Linked DNA regions of Macaca mulatta. The protein of the gene in region 2 purifies or fractionates together with the protein of the main gene of each other region. This does not show direct contact. Links are inferred from orthologs where the notes say so. Each region holds a gene or a part of one and is shown on either strand. Other genes may lie near its edges. The genes, in order: SQSTM1 and RIGI.

Region 1 (8,661 bases), on a different chromosome or scaffold from region 2:
AGTGGGAGCTTCTGTGGCTCCACCCAGTTCTTTCAGTGCTTCAGCAGGTGGGAGTTTCTCCGGGACCCCTTCATACTTGGCTGTCTCACTTGGATTACAGGTGTAGGCCACAGTGCCCAGCTGACTCACTTTTTTTTTTTCCCCTTAAAAAAATTGTTGGCCTGGCCAAGTGCAGTGGCTCACGCTTGTAATCCCAGCACTTTGGGACGCCGAGGCGGGGCGATCACGAGGTCAGGAGATAGAGACCACGGTGAAACCCCCTCTCTACTAAAAATATAAAAAATTAGCCGGGCATGGTGGCGGGGCCTGTAGTCACAACTACTCAGGAGGCTGAGGCAGGAGAATGGCGTGAACCCGGGAGGCGGAGCTTTCAGGAGGCGAGATAGCGCCACTGGGCTCCAGCCTGGGTGACAGAGCGAGACTCCATCTCAAAAAAAAAAAATAATAATAATAATTGTTGGCCCGCAGACACATGAAAAAATGTTCATCATCACTGGCCATCAGAGAAATGCAAATCAAAACTACAATGAGATACCATCTCACACCAGTTCGAATGGCTATCATTAAAAAGTCAGGAAACAACAGGTGCTGGAGAGGATAAGGAGAAATAGGAACACTTTTACACTGTCGGTGGGACTGTAAACTAGTTCAACCATTGTGGAAGACGGTGTGGTGATTCCTCAATGATCTAGAACTAGAAATACCATTTGACCCAGCCATCCCATTACTGGGTATATACCCAAGGGATTATAAATAATGCAGGTATAAAGACACATGCCCACATATGTTTATTGCGGCACTATTCACAATAGCAAAGACTTGGAACCAACCCAGATGTCCATCAGTGACAGACTGGATTAAGAAAATGTGGCACATATACACCATGGAATCCTATGCAGCCATAAAAAAGGATGAGTTCATGTCCTTTGTAGGGACATAGATGAAGCTGGAAAACGTCATTCTGAGCAAACTATCATAAGGACAGAAAACCAAACACCGCATGTTCTCACTCTTAGGTGGGAGTTGAACAATGAGATCACTTGGACATAGGTAGGGGAACATCACACACCAGGGCCTGTCGTGGGGTGGGGGGAGGGGGGAGGGATAGCATTAGGAGATACACCTAATGTAAATGATGAGTTAATGGGTACAGCACACCAACATGGCACATGTATACATACATAACAAACCTGCATGTTGTGCACATGTACCCTAGAACTTAAAGTATAATAAAAAATAAAAATAAATTAAAATTAAAATAAAAAAAAAATTGTTGGCCCGGCACGCTCACGCCTGTAATCCCAGCACTCTGGGAGGCCGAGGCAGGCGGATCACCTGAGGTCAGGAGTTGGAGACCAACCTGGCCAACATGGTGAAACCCCATCTCTACTAAAAATACAAAAATTAGGTTGGGCGCCCCTGGTGGCTCACACCTGTAATCCCAGCACTTTGGGAGGCTGAGGCAGGCGGATCACCTGAGGTCAGGAGTTCGAGACCAGTCTGACCAACATGGTGAAAGCCTGTCTCTGCTAAAAATACAAAAATTAGCTGGGCATGGTGGCATATGCCTGTAATCCCAGCTACTCAGGCAGGTGAGGCAGGAGAATCGCTTGAACTCAGGAGGCGGAGGTTGCAGTGAGCCAAGATTGCCTGACTGCACTCCAGCCTGGGCCACGGAGCAAGATTCCGTTTCAAAAAAAAAAAAAAAAAGGCCAGGCACGGTGGCTCATGCCTGTAATCCCAGTACTTTGGGAGGCCAATGTGGGTGGATCACGAGGTCAAGAGTTTGAGACCAGACTGACCAACATGGTGAAACCCCACCTCTACTAAAACTACAAAAAAATTAGCTGGGTGTGGTGGGGCGCGCCTGTAATCCCAGCTACTTAGGAGGATGAGGCAGGAGAATTCCTTGAACCTGGGAGGCAGAAGTTGCAGTGAGTCGAGATTATGCCACTGCACTCCAGCCTGGGCAACAGAGCGAGACTCCATCTTTAAAAACAAAACAAAAAAGGCCGGGCGTGGTGGCTCACACCTGTAATCCCACCACTTTGGGAGGCTGAAGCAGGTGGATCACGAGGTCAGGAGATCGAGACCATCCTGGCTAACATGGTGAAACCCCGTCTCTACTAAAAAATACAAAACATTAGCCGGGTGTGGTGCCATTGGCCTGTAGTCCCAGCTACTCGGGAGCCTGAGGCAGGAGAATGGCATGAACCCGGGAGGTGGAGCTTGCAGTCAGTCTAGATCAGGCCACTGCACTCCAGCCTGGGCGACAAGGCAAGACTCTGTCTCAAAAATAAATAAATAAATAAATATTTTAAAAATTACCAAAAAAAATCCAAAAACAATTGTTTAAAAAATTTTAATTTTATAGAGATGAGGTGTCACTATGTTGCCCAGGTTGGTCTCGAACTGGTGAGCTCAAATGATCCTCCCGCCTTAGCTTCTCAAAGTGCTGGGATTACAGGCATGAGCCACCACACCGGGCCTGGGTGACTAAGTTTTAACGTTAAGTAACTCATTAACAATTTCTAAGGCCCTTTATGCCACAGCCTAAGTGAAAAGCCATTATCCTTTGCCACACATAGAAGACACCTGTGAAAACACGAGTTTCCTCTAGAAGGCGCCTACAAGTCCCAGTCTCTAGTTCGGAATGTTCCAGGAGCACTGAATGGGGAGCCCTGTCCTTTAACACTGGGCCTCAGGATCCAGCCCACCTCGGCCTCTGGCTCGGCCACCCACTTCTTGGCATCAATCTCTCTGTGGGAGAATTGTCCAGACCCGTAGAAGCTCCCGATTCCACCCAGCCCCAGGTGTGGGCCGGGGCTGGACTAGGAAGACAAAGCTGCATTCACTCCCAGTCTGAGTCCAGCCCCTCAGGCCTCCCCCGAGCGGGCGGGGCAGAGGTCCCTGCAGCCTCCACCCGGAACCGGGCCCCTAGGACTGGGAGGTCCAAGCTGGGAGCGGGCCAGGCGCTGCCCAAAGTCTTAAAAAAAAAAAAAAAGAAAGAAAAAAAATTAGCCGGGCGCCTGTAATCCCGGCTACTCCGGAGGCTGAGATCGCAGTGAGCCGAGATCGCGCCATTGCACTCCAGCCTGGGCGACAGAGCGAGACTCTGTCTCAAAAAAAAAAACCCACAAAAATCCGAAGGCGTGGGCCCCTATCAAGAGCCGGCTGGGCTGCGCGGGGCGAGGTGGCCGCTGCACCACCGGGAGCAGGGCCCGTTGCTCCCGTAAGCGGCGCGCTTGGGCCGCCACTGTCCCGGGAAGCCGGTCCGGTTCTGGGCTGGTCATTCCTCTGCACCCACGAGCATTGGCCCTGATTCCCCCTAGAACGGCCCATTGTTCCCGCCTCCCGGGCCCCTGTGCGTCTCAGTCCCGCGCCCCAGAGGAAGCTCCTGAGCGGGAAAGCGCCCTGGGCGGCGCCGAAGGCAACGGTGGCTCCCGGCTCCAAGCGCCCAGTCCCCTCCAAGCGCCCAGTCCCCCGCGCCACCCAGAGCCCCTCACGCTCGGGAAACAGCCCAGAGAACGTGCGAGTGGGGTCGGGGTCCGCGCGCGGAGGAGATGTTGCCGAGAAGAGTACCTGGGCCCGAGAGCGCCGCCCCCGCCGCCCGCGCCGGCTGCGGTCGACCCGCACTCCCACTCCGGCCTTACCTAAGGCCGACTCGCACGAGCCCAAGCGGGGCTGCGGGAGCCGGTCGGGATCACGGGCGCCGGCCCCCACCCCGCCCCTCGCGGCGCTGGCGGCGGCGGTGCTGCGGCCCCTTTAAATCCGGGCCGCCCCGCCCTGCGCCGTCGACTCCGCGGCGGCCCCAGATCCAGGCCCCAGATCCAGGCCGGGCCGCGGCTCTCGCCGCCCAGCCCAGCCCAGCCCGGCCTGGCCCGGCCCTGCCGCGGAGGCGAGGCCGCCAGTGTCCCGCGCCCCTGATACCTGCAGTGAGCCTGATATCTGCCTCTGCTCCTCTGAGCCTGTTCCTTTTCCCTGAGTACAGGGCACAAAGCTTGCGCCCTGAGAAGCGGCAGGCGCGCTCCCCGGCCCGGTCCCTGCCCGGCCCCGGCCCCCCCGCCCCTCCCCGCCCCGGGGCCGGGGCCCCTGCAGCCGCCGCCTTCCGACCCCTGCGCCCCGGCCCCGGTTCCCCGGGCCATGCAGCCTCGGCCCCGCGGGCGCCCGCCGCGCATCGGAGGAGATGAGGCTCCGCAATGGCACCTTCCTGACGCTGCTGCTCTTCTGCCTGTGCGCCTTCCTCTCGCTGTCCTGGTACGCGGCACTCAGCGGCCAGAAAGGTAAGCGCGACCCCCGCCCGACCGGCCCGGCCCGCACCTGGCGCACCTGGGCGTCGGCGGCGGGAGCGGGCCCGGCGGTGGCCGCGGGAGGCGGCCGGAAGCCGACGCAGGCGCCCCTTCCCCGCCCGGGCGGCGCGGAGGACGCCCCTCCCACCCTCCCCCACTTGTTTGCTGCTGGAGCCGCGGCGTCCTCCTCGGGCCCGGGCTGCGCCTGCCCGCCCAGCGCTGGCCGCGCCCGTGGGTGCCCCGGACCGGACTCCGCGGGCGCAGCTGAGCTGGGGACCCGTGGGGGTCTCGGCACAGACCCAAGGTCACAGAGGTCCCGGAACGCCAGCCACAGCCACTTGGGCAGGACCTGGGCCGGCGTGAGGGACACAGGCGCGAGGGCACCGCTAGGCGGTCAGGCATCCCCCCACCCGCCCTCCCCCGACCCTGCCTCCCGCAGCCCCGCGCCGGCCTGGGCGACCCCGGCGTGACACCCGGTCCTGGGTCTCCCTCGCCGACCCCCGGGCGCCCGGAACGCCTCGGCAGCATCCGGCCTATGGGAGCGGGGGAGGGAGGGAGAGGCGTCCTGAGCCAGCCCGGCCACTGCTGCCCTGCGCTCCTGTGCGGCCCCAGCCCCTCCCCCGCACCCCGAGCTTCCCGGGCTGGCCCCCGCCCTCCGCGTCCGCCCAGCGCTCTTGCAGGCGGAGGGTGCAGACCGACCCCCCGCCCCCCGCCCCCCTGACCGGTCTTGGCGATGGTGGGGCCGAGTAGGGCCTGAGCCCTCCGAGGCGCTCTTCCCCTAGCCTGGAGGTTCTGGGAGAGTGGCCTCCTGCCTGCCTGCCTGCTGGAGGCCTAAGCGGGCTGAGGCTACCTGCCCCCTTGGCCTCCCTGCCACCTGCTTCCCTGTTTCCCTGTCCCGGAGCGCCACCCCAGAGAGGCTGAGGAGGCTGGGAGGACCTGGACCCTTCCGGACCTTCCGAGCCTCAGCTACCCTCACCGAGCTCTGCCAGCGCGCCCGCCTGCCGCACTTGTTCTGTCAGAGCAGAGGCCTGGGCTGGCCTTGGGGCTCCAGGGCCAGAGCCCCATCACCCAGGGACTCTGCGGGGAGACTGCAGGACAGGGGAGGGAGGGCTGGGGCAGAGGCCCCGGTGGTGGCGTATATTATCAAGGGCAGGCATGACTGGGGCAGAATTATCTGTAGGTAGGGTGTGTCACCTGGGGAAGGACATTCTGGGTCCTTGGCAGGGTGACTAGCAGACTGGCATGAAGGCCTAGGTGGGGCCTTATCTGAAGGGCTGGGGCACACTCTTCCAGTCGTGGGTAGAGCCATGAGCCCTTGCCCTTTGTCCTCAGCCAGTGTGTGTCTCCCACAGCAGCCACATGCCGCCAGATTGATGTCAGGAGCCACCTCTGCAAGCCTGGCTTACCACAGGGAGCCAGTCTCCGGGACAGCAGAGTGAGGGAGAGGCGCTGGCTCCGTGGGGGCATCCGGGAGGCTGGCTCTTTGAGGGCCTGGGGAACAGGAGAGCTAAGAAGGGGAGCGCTTAGATTCAAGGACCCAGCCCCTAGGGGAGGGAAGCCTAAGGATCCTGTGAGGCATGAGTAGGGGGTGACCTAGGCCTGCCTTGTTGAGGGGCTGTCACTGTTTCTGTGGTGACTCAGTGAAGCTAGGAATCCAGGCTATTATGTGAACCCATCTCATTGTCACATGTAGAAAGTCTGTCTTAAGCCCCTGGCGAAACCAGGCTTAGCCAGTCTGAGGCCAAATTGGAACCTGGCCTCCACTTTGCAGCCAGCGGGGGTCCAGGAACTTGAGGGAAGAACCCAGGAAGTGGAATCTGCAGAGAAGGAAGGAGATGGGCAGGGAACCAGAGAGGAAGGACAGCAGGTGCGGGCGTCATCCTGGAAGCCCAAGGTCAAGCCCAGGACGGCCTCTTTAGACTAATGCAAAATGGACCCTGGAGAAGGGTTTGGGGCCCAGTTTCATATCTGGCCTGTGGAGCAGCTCTGCCAGCACTCAAACTGTGGCCTTCAGCCAAGCACCTGCTGAGGATCTGCCCAGGGAGGCAGACCCTTGCGGGTGGCCCAGGGTCTCAGCCACACAGCTCTCCCAGCCTCCAGGCTGTCCTCCTCCCCAGGCCTGGACCTCAGCAATGACAGACACCCTCCTTGACTCCTGGGAGGGTGCAGGGTCTGGAGAGGAGACAGACATCTGCCGCACACATGCATGGTGACAGCAGACTGTTAACGGCCTGATACCTGCCCATGCCCCTCTGATCCTGTTCCTTTTCCCTGAATACAGGGCACAAAGGTTGTGCCCCAGCTTGGCTCTTTAATCTTTTCCCAACCAAGAGGGAAGCAGGGGGAACTGTGGTTTGCGGGCCTCAGGGTGTCCTAATGACTCGCCTCCAGGGAGGGTTACACAGCCTCCAGGCCTCATTGCTGCTGTTCTTAACAATGTGGCCCTGAGGCAGGAAGGTATGGCAGGGGCTCCCAGGCTGGCCCCTCTCCACCTGAGCTGCCTCCCCAGCTCCTGAAGGTTAGAGGATGTCAGCATGGCTTGGCAGAGCCCTGGCATGGGGCCTGGCCCATGGGGAGGCAGTCACAGAGTTCGACGCACAGTTGAGGGCCAGGCGGGTGGGGGAGCTGGCAGGCGGGGGAGGCTGCCCAGGGCCAGGGCCTGCAGTGTGAAGGGAAATGACAGAAGGGTTGGTGTAGGTGGGAGCCCGTGGGTCCCTTTACCTCCTGGTAAACAGGACCTGGGGGAGAGGGGAGGCCCCTAGGAAGGAAGCCAGGGTAAGGAGCAGGCTGTTTCCAGGGTGATTCAGGCAGCGTCACCCACCACTGCCCACCCAGCCTGTCCATCTGAGGCAGTCATGTGGGACAGAGAAAGCCAGGGTGGGGCTCGGGGATGGGCAGTGGCTGTAAGTAGGCAAGCGGGGACTGGCATCTAGGCAGGAGGGAGGCACACCTGCAGGTGCAGGTGGCTCTGAACCCACTCCTGATGGCTCTGTAGGCCTCTGCACCTCCAGTCCCATCCCTGTGGGCAACCGCTGCCTACACCTCAGTGTCGCCCAGCAATGGGTGAGTGTTGGGGGTAGCCAGCTCTGCATTCAAAGGGTCAGGTTTCCAGGGTAACCTAGCCCCTGAGCCCAGCGTGGAGCCTGGCAGATCCGGTAATCTGACTCCCCCTTCCCTCCCGCCAGGGCCTGTCCAGAGGCTCCACTTGGCCTCAGCCTTAGCCCCAGAGAGGCAGGGTGTGGGAGGGCGGGGGCTAGCTTCTTGGGTAAGAGATGCCTCAGGGAAGATCCACTTCGCTCCCTGCTCCTTACACCTTTCCCTCCTGCCCAGGTCCACCCCTTCCTATTCCCTGGTCGCTTGGCACTTCGACCTCCTGCCTCTGCTTTGGAAAGGGGTGTGTCCTGAGGTGACTGGACTTTGCCTGATCATGACCTTGATCATGCACAGGGCCGCTGGCGGGGTGAGGCCATCCCACGGAACTCTGGGGTCTGTGAACCCACCAAGGATCAAGGAATGGAAGAGCTATCTGTGGGTAGAGGGAGTTCTGTCAGGCGTCTTAAACTTGGAGACTTGGAAACATAAGGCCTTGCAGGCCACATAGGTTTTCAGAGGCTCGCCTGGCAGAGGCCTTGAGCGTACTTCCGCAGGGACTGTGGGCACCCAGCCACCGGGAGGTTGTTGATCTCAGTCTTGCTCACTGGTCCCTGCCAGACTGGTGGTGCCTCTCTACTGTCGGGCAGCCCTACCTGTGTGCTGCCCCATCTGCCTACAGCCCTCATGCCTGGGCCCAGCTGGAGCTTCTGACATGGGTCCCCTGGGGGGGCATGCGGACCCTTCAGGGTGCCCCAGGCACAGCACAGGTCTCCAGAGACACAGGCACCAGAGCATTCAGAGCTAGTCCCCTCGCTGCTGTTGACTGTCCTTGAGCAATGAAGTGAGGTGGGCTCCTGGAACTGCAGCAGCCACCCCCGGGGCCATTGTGAGGCTAACAATCCAGGGCAAGGTGGGCAACTAGCGACTGCCACGAGGACAGTGAAGAACTAGCACCAGGACCTTGGGTATCCCGTGCCCTGGAAGGAGCATGTGCTGCAAAAAGCAAGAGTGGGCTTTGGAGGCCAACGGACAGAGCGGCTTCGGTCTGAGGCTGTTCCAGCCCTTGCTTAGGATCCACCTACCTAGGTCTGGAAATTCCCACTTCAGACGCCTCCTCAGAGAATAAAATAACCCCGGGAAGAGGGCAAATTCCCCTGGTTTTCTCCCCACAAGCATTCGTGTCAGTGTAATTTCAGAGTGACCCCAGCTGTCTCACGTGTGGCAGGCACGAGAACAGATGTAAATGAGCTGTTGCACAGATGGGCACCCAGATGTGTGC
Region 2 (7,761 bases):
GGATCACTTGAGGTCAGGAGTTCAAGATCAGCCTGGCCAACATGGTGAAACCCTGACTCCACTAAAAATAATAAAAATTAGCCGGGTGTGGTGGCAGGTGCCCGTACCCAGCTACTTGGGAGGCTGAGGCAGGAGAATCACTTGAACCCAGAAGGCAGAGATTGCAGTGAGCCGAGATCACACCACTATACTCCAACCTGGGCAACAGAGTGAGACTCCATCTCAAAAAAAATTTTTTTTTCTCTTATTAAATCTATTTCTGGTAGATGTTTTACACATCCTATTGGAGTTCTTAAACAGTAGTGTATTAGTCCATTTTCACACTGCTATAAAGAACTGCCTGAGACTGGGTAATTTATAAAGAAAAGAGGTTTAATAGACTCACAGTTACACATGGCTGAGGAGGCCTCAGGAAACTTACAATCATGGCAGAAGGGGAAGTAGGCACGTCTTACATGGCAGCAGATGAGAGAGAAAGTGTGTGTGTAAAGGAGGAATTGTCAAACACTTATAAAACCATCAGCTCTTATGAGAACTCACTATCCCAAGAACAGCATGGGGACAACTGCCCCCGTGATCTAATCACCTCCCATCAGGTCCCTCCCTTGACGCATGGGGATTATAATTCAAGATGAGATTTGGGTGGGGACACAGAGCCAAACCATATCAAATAGCAATTAAAAAAACAGTCACATAAGAAAAGACATTCTTAATAAAATACAAATGGAAAATGAAAAAAAAATCAACTCATAAACTTGGTTTAAATAATCAAATTGTATTGGATCTTAGTAAGAATACTGCTACTAGTAATTATTATCAAGCAACTACTGTGTCATGTACATTTCACACATTCTTTTAATTAAAAACTCTCCACTAACCCTTACAGTTCAGTATTATCCTTGTTTTATAGATGAAGAAAAGCCAAAGAGAAGTTATATAACTGGCAAGTTTCTCTGGCTCCCTGCCTGCACCATTGCTCACTAGATTGCATGGAGAGGGAGGCGGCTGGAACACCTCATCCCGTTGATCTCCAGGGAACTCAGGCACTTGCTTCCATGTCTAGAAAAACCGCAAACTAAGCTCTTTGAAGCATGAGCAAACCTTGCTAAGTGACACATGAATGCCATTTGGATACATATTCTAATCTTTCAAGTAGAAAGGACAGTCAGACTGCCTCACCTGTAACATCCAAGGGATCTGAGAACAGACATTCAGTCCAGGTGTTGAACATCAACCATTAAAGGAAAATCGTCAAAGAGAACAATGGCACATATTAAGAGAACATATTAATAGGGCAAGATATATAGTAAACTAAGTTTTCAAGAAATATTTTATCATTTTTATGCTCACTACTAAAAGCTGTCCACTGTAGAGTGGACACACATTGCTACATACAGCAACTCTAGAGTGGACAGCTTTTAGTAGTGAGCATAAAAATGGCTTTATGTACTCATGTTCTCTGTGTAGCCGTACCACATGTTGCTACACAGGGAACATGAGTACATATAACCATTACATATACATACCTGTATGTATGTATAATAGTTATATATACATATTTACAGTATATACATGTATATATATTGAACCCTTGGAATTACCAACCCTTAAGGGATCAGCAAAGAGGAGGACTCAATAAAAAAGACTAGACTAGAACTAGAAGAGAGAAGAGCCCAGGGACAGTTTCAAGAAGAGTGCTCAACAGGGCCAAATGTGCAGAAGTCAAATAGAAGGTCAAGAAGTGCCCAGTGGATTTGGCAACCAGAGTCACTGGTAACCTTCAAAAGAACAATTTCAGTAGATTGTTAATGGCAAAAGCCAATGTACAGTAGGTTAAGGAGAAAAAAGGAGATAAAAATTCCCAACATTCCATTCATTCATCTATCCCGGTGTGTACAGAGTGATTACTGTGTGTTTGTTGGCAGTTACTCTAAAAAGAAAGCTAGAAATGAGGCTTTTAAATTTTTCCCAAGTACTAAGAGCTCTGTTGGCCTACAAAATATTCAGTGCTGTGATTCACTCGTGTGCTTTGCATATATAATATAATACAAACTGTTAAAGATATTTTTAAAAAAATATTTTCACAGGCGTACAAGCGATCCATGATTATACCCACTATGTTTGTTTCTTCTCCACTCAAAGTTACTCATTCCCTGTAGCTGAAGATTGAGGCCCTGATATCATTTGGCCATTTCTGCTGGATCAAATGGTATCTTCTCAAAATGAAAGTCCTTCCACTTCGAGTACAGTGTCTGAACTCCAGTTGCAATATCCTCCACCACAAAACTTTCAATTTTTATAACTGGAATCTCAAATGTCTTGTACTTCATATGGATTCCCCAGTCATGGCTGCAGTTCTGTCGGGCACAGAATATCTTTTCTCTTTTATCAAAATTTGAAAACTTCTTTGGCTTGGGATGTGGTCTCCTCACAAAGCATTCCTTAAAAGCATCTCCAAGCACAGTGTAATGGCATTCCTACAGATAAAGGGATGGAATAACACACAAAAGAGAACATTAGAACCAGTACATAATTGTGATTAAAAAAAAAAAAAAGAGAACTCCACAATAATCTGAGATGAAGAATAGGTGGGTCTCACTTATTTTATTGGAGGAAAACAAATATGGATTCACCTGAAGTCCAGAGGACGATCCATGCACCTGACTCCCTTCTACAGGCAGGGTAGTGTTGCAAGTGAGGACACTGGGCACCTCATAGAGAGGAAGATTAAGAAAGACCCAGGTAACCCAGCTTCTGAAGGTAGATACTTATTATTCAAAAACACAAGCGATGTTTGTTGAAAATCTGTGAAGCTGAAGTTCACCAGTGGCCCTAGCAGGCACAATCCAAAGGATACAGGGAAAATGACCAAGGTCAAGGTGCAATTGAAGAAGGTCAGGGACTAACGTGTTCACAGGCCCCACCTAGAGTCAACTTTAGAGTAAACGGCTCAAACAAATGCAGATCCAACATACTAGTCCCTCAGGAAAACATAGGGTCTAAAAGGGCCATTTTTAGTAGAATAATCACCCAAATTGGAGCTAAAAGGACCTTTTACGCTAAAGAAGCAGACTTAGAAAGGTAAGGGAACTTAGCAATATGACTCCTAATATGCTTTTTGCCCAAACAGCTGAGCTGATGAGAGATTTCTGCTTTCTGAAGATGAATGGAACACCCTGAAGTAATAACTCCTCATCTGAGCCAGCCCAGCCCCTCCACCGTAACCCCACATGCAAGACAGTTATACCCCACATTTCTCTTTGGAGATTTTTCTAACCCTTTTTCTGAAAGTTTTAAGAACAAAATATAAGGCTGCAATAGAAAGCCAACCTTCAGATGTCACATTTTACAAATAAGGATATATTTTCTTCATTATAGAAGTGATCCATAGCCCAAAAGGAATGTTTGGAAAACATAAAGTACTAGGGAAAGAGAAAAAGATCATGGAATCTCACCACCAAAATATTAATACATTTTGGTATAGTTCCCCTAGCCTTTGTTTTTCTGTAGAAAGGTAAGTTTTTTGACTTTTTCTTGACAGTGACAATGGTATTTGCTGCTGTTTCACACAGCTATAAAGTAGCATCTTTATAATTTTGTGTTCTGGTTACTTTTTTCCACATTAGTTTGTAAGCAGTTTTTCATTATACTACATAAACTTCATAATCTTTAAAATAAACTTTACTTTGGAACAATTTTAGATTTACAGAAAAATTGCAAAGATATCCCAGAAAATTTCTGCATACCCTTTGCCCAGTTTCCCCAAATGCTAACATTTCATATACCACAGTACATTTGTCAAAACCAAGATATTAACATCAGTACATTACTATTATCTAAACTACAGATTTTACCACTCTTTCTCTAGTCATATCCTTTATCTGTTCTAGGAGCTAATCCAGGACACTTCATTGCATGTAGCATGCCTTTTTTTTTTTTTTTTTTTTGAGACAGAGTCTTGCTCTGTCACCCAGGCTAGAGTGCAGTGGTGCGACATCAGCTCACTGCAACCTCCGCCTCCCGGGTTCAAGTGATTCTCCTGCCTCAGCCTCCTGAGTAGCTGGGATTACAGGTGCCCACCACCATGCCCAGCTTATTTTTGTATTTTTAGTAGAGAGAGGGTTTTGCCATGTTGGCCAGGCTGGTCTCGAACTCCTGACCTCAGGTGATCCACCTGCCTCAAAGTACTGGGATTACAGGCATGAGCCACCATGCTCGGCCTGACCACTTTAATGGCTTTTTTTTAAATGGCTGTGTAATATTAAGTGGCTGTACAGCAATGTTTTAAAACTATTTTTTTCTTTTTTTGAGCCAGGGTCTTACTCTGTCATCCAGACTAGAGTGCAGTGGTGCAATCATGGCTTACTGCAGCCTTGATCTCTCAAGTTCAAACAATCAGCCCACCTAGCCTTCTGAGTAGCTGGAACTACAGGCTCTTGCTACCATGCCCAGCTTTTTTTTTTTTTTTAAATTTTTTTTTTGTGACAGAGTCTCTCTGTCACCTGGGCTGGAGTGGAATGGCGTGATTTTGGCTCACTGCAACCTCTGCCTCCTGGGTTCAAGCAATTCTCCTGCCTCAGCCTCCCGAGTAGCTAAGATTACAGCCGCCTGCCCCTACGCCCAGCTAATTTTTGTATTTTTAGTAGAGACAGGGTTTCATCATGTTGGCCGGGCTGGTCTCGAACTCCTGACCTTGTGATTTACCCAACTCGGCCTCCCAAAGTGTTTGGATTACAGGTGTGAGCCACTATGCCTGGCCAAAAACTATTTATTATTGAACATTTAGTATTTCTTTTTCACTTCTTAGCTTTTTTTCAAATACACAGATCATGGCCATAATAGCAATGGAAATAATAGAGTTTTACTATAAATATTTCACCGACAGTAAGCTTTAGCTAGTGCTAAAACATGACCAGGCACTTTGTAAAAAGGCAGCTTACCTCTATCACTCTTATGTCAGCTGTGTAACATACCAAGGCTTTGCACTTTCCGCAGAGCAGTTTTTTATTTTCCTTATCAGGTACAGGTTTTGGTTTTTCTTGACTATCTCTGATTAATTTTTCATGAGTCTGTATATGCAGAATCTAATGCAAAAATAAAGACCTCAAATATAATTTAACACATATAGAGAGAAACAGGCACAGATAGATATATACATATACATGCACATATACAATCATTCATATACAACTTCCATGAACATATGGTACCTGACTTGGTAAAATCACAGATTTTATTGGTTCTCCTAACTTAATATTAGTCAATGTTTAATTGTGGCCTCCAACTAGTCTTTCAATTTCTTCATCAAAAATGCTCATAAAAGCACTAAAGATGTCCATAGAATAGTCATATGAACCATGCTTTCTACTTTAGTGTTTTGCAAAACTTGAAAAAAAGCAAAACCTGTACCAGATATACAATATGCACTGTTTCAGGCATAATTATATCCATTTGCAGGCACAAACCCAATGAGTGATACAGCAGGCAGAAGAGCCCCTGATACGGTTTGGCTGTATCCTTACCCAAATCTCAACTTGAATTGTTTTCATCTTCCAGAATTCCCGTGTGTTATGGGACGGACCCAGGGAGAGGTAATTGAATCATGGGGGCCAGTCTTTCCTGTGCTATTCTTATGATAGTGAATAAGTCTCCCGAGATCTGATGAGTTTATCAGGGGTTTCCACTTTTGCTTCTTCCTCATTTTTCTCCTGCTGCTGCCATGTAAGAAGTGCCTTCTGCCTCCCACCATGATTCTGAGGCCTCCCCAGCCATGTGGAACTGTAAGTCCAATTAAACCTCTTTGTTTTCCCAATCTCAGGTATGTCTTTGTCAGTGGTATAAAAACAGACTAATACAGCCCTCAACATCTAAAACCTTTTTTCTCTCTCCCCTTCAGCCACAGGGAATATTGTTGCATATGTGTAGTATGATTTTATTCTAATTCAAAATCTAGTCCTTGGCTAAGAACATGGTCCAACTTAGAACCATGGACATGATAGTATAAAACTCTTCATACCAATAAATAGATCTCAAACTGAATGAAAAAAAAAATCATAGATGCCAACACTGAGATGAGAAAGATTTTAAAGCCCCTAATAAAGATGCTTCGATGGACAGTTATAAATACTTTTGAAACATAAAGAGAAAACATAAAGGTTCAACAATGAAATGGAAGACAAAGTTTAGAACTGAAAGATACAACCAAAATAAAAAGGTCAATGGATGGGCTTTCCGTGGCAGAATGGAAGGGACAAAGAAAAGAGTCAGTGATCTGAAAGAACAACAGAAATTACCCAATCTAAACAACAACAAAATACACTGGGGGGGGGGGGGGAAGCAAAGTCTCAAGGACCTGTAGGACTATAAAAAACGATGTCATGGCACTGGAGTTCTGCAAGGAGAGAAGAGCAGGGCTTAAAAAGTATTCAAAGAAATAACAGCCAAATATATCCCAAATTTAACAAGCTACATCAACCAAGATTCAAGAAGCTGAACAAGCTCCAAACAGGATAAACACCTTCAAAAAACACTCTGAGACACGTTATAATTAAACTTATGAAAACTGAAGAAAAAAATCTTGAAAGCAGTCAGAGGAAAAAAAAAAAGAAAAAGACATCTTACCCATAGGGGGAAATCAGTCTGAATAACAGGAGATTTGTCATTAGAAACAATGGAGGCTACCTGGAAGTGGCACAATATTTTTTAAATGCTGAAAGAAAAGAACAGTCCATCCCAGAACCCTAGACTCAGCAAGATGCCACCTTCAAAAATAAGGAAGAAATGAAGACATTCTCAGATGAAGGAACACTGAGAATCTGTCATCAGCAGATTTACCCTAAAATATTGGCTAAAGGAAGTTTTCTAAACAGAGGAAATGATAAAAGGAACCCTGAAACATCATGAAGGAAGAAAGAACACAGATTTCCTCCATGTCTTCTATGGAAGATTCTGTCCGTCCCACTGGTTTATGGTGGCGCCTCTCTATATCAGACTATGCTTTCAAGTGTCCCAGGTGGATCCAGACAGCCTAGATGCAAATAGCGTCCCTGTCACTTAGCAGCTACGTCATTTTGGGCAAGCGCCTCGTTTCTTTACATACAAAATGGGACGATAGCATCTGCTTCATGGACTGTCAGGAGATAACATGAGCTTATGACTGCTCAGGCCTGCCCAGCACAGGGTAAATGCCCATCAGCGTTGCCTCCCTCTGTTAGGCTAGTCTTATGCTAAGAGCCATGAAAATGTTGTAATGGGGTGGCTTGTAGTTTTGTATTGATAAGGCAATCTCCATTCATTAGGGATTGCCTTATCAATACAAAACAACTAGCTACCCCCATTTTAATTTTTCTAGAAATATAGCTATTTTCATCTATTTATTATTTTATATAAACTCTAGAACCATTTTATCAAATTAAAAGTATATTTATGCTTTCAATATGGTTTGTGATACATGAATAAGCGAATTTGGGATGAATGCACATGTTTAAAATATTCAGTCATTCAAGAGCATGGCATTTCTTTTATCTTAATATCTCCCAGTAAAATTTATTTGTCCTCATTTCTGCTTCAAACTTTTCTGATTAGGCTGGTAGATGTAATGGTTAAACAGATGGGCTCTACCAACTCTGCCATGAAATAGCTGTGTGATCTACTGGCACTGAAGCTATTCAAGTCTCAGTTTCCTGCCTATAAAATGACATAGGAGGCACTACTATATGGATTGCTGTAAAGCCTATTGATGTAAGTAAAGCATTTGCAGGG

What was found.
Region 1: the proteins of RIGI (region 2) and SQSTM1 purify together in Homo sapiens (affinity purification with western blotting; 5 studies listed by BioGRID). This does not show direct contact. The link is inferred for Macaca mulatta from reciprocal best matches to the Homo sapiens genes RIGI and SQSTM1.

The regions. Positions count from the first base shown.
Region 1 is NC_133411.1:188,801,953-188,810,613, reverse strand, and holds the start of SQSTM1 (sequestosome-1), read right to left. Parts: upstream 5,363-8,661; 5' UTR 5,266-5,362; intron 4,683-5,265; coding exon of another isoform or gene 4,187-4,682; exon of another isoform or gene 3,910-4,186; intron 3,821-3,909; exon of another isoform or gene 3,583-3,820; intron 1-3,582. Other genes in the region: MGAT4B (alpha-1,3-mannosyl-glycoprotein 4-beta-N-acetylglucosaminyltransferase B), read left to right, coding at 4,187-4,682. UniProt on the Homo sapiens protein: Molecular adapter required for selective macroautophagy (aggrephagy) by acting as a bridge between polyubiquitinated proteins and autophagosomes.
Region 2 is NC_133420.1:66,916,903-66,924,663, reverse strand, and holds the end of RIGI (antiviral innate immune response receptor RIG-I), read right to left. Parts: intron 7,741-7,761; exon of another isoform or gene 7,585-7,740; intron 6,612-7,584; exon of another isoform or gene 5,085-6,611; coding exon 4,941-5,084; exon of another isoform or gene 4,724-4,940; intron 2,478-4,723; coding exon 2,181-2,477; downstream 1-2,180.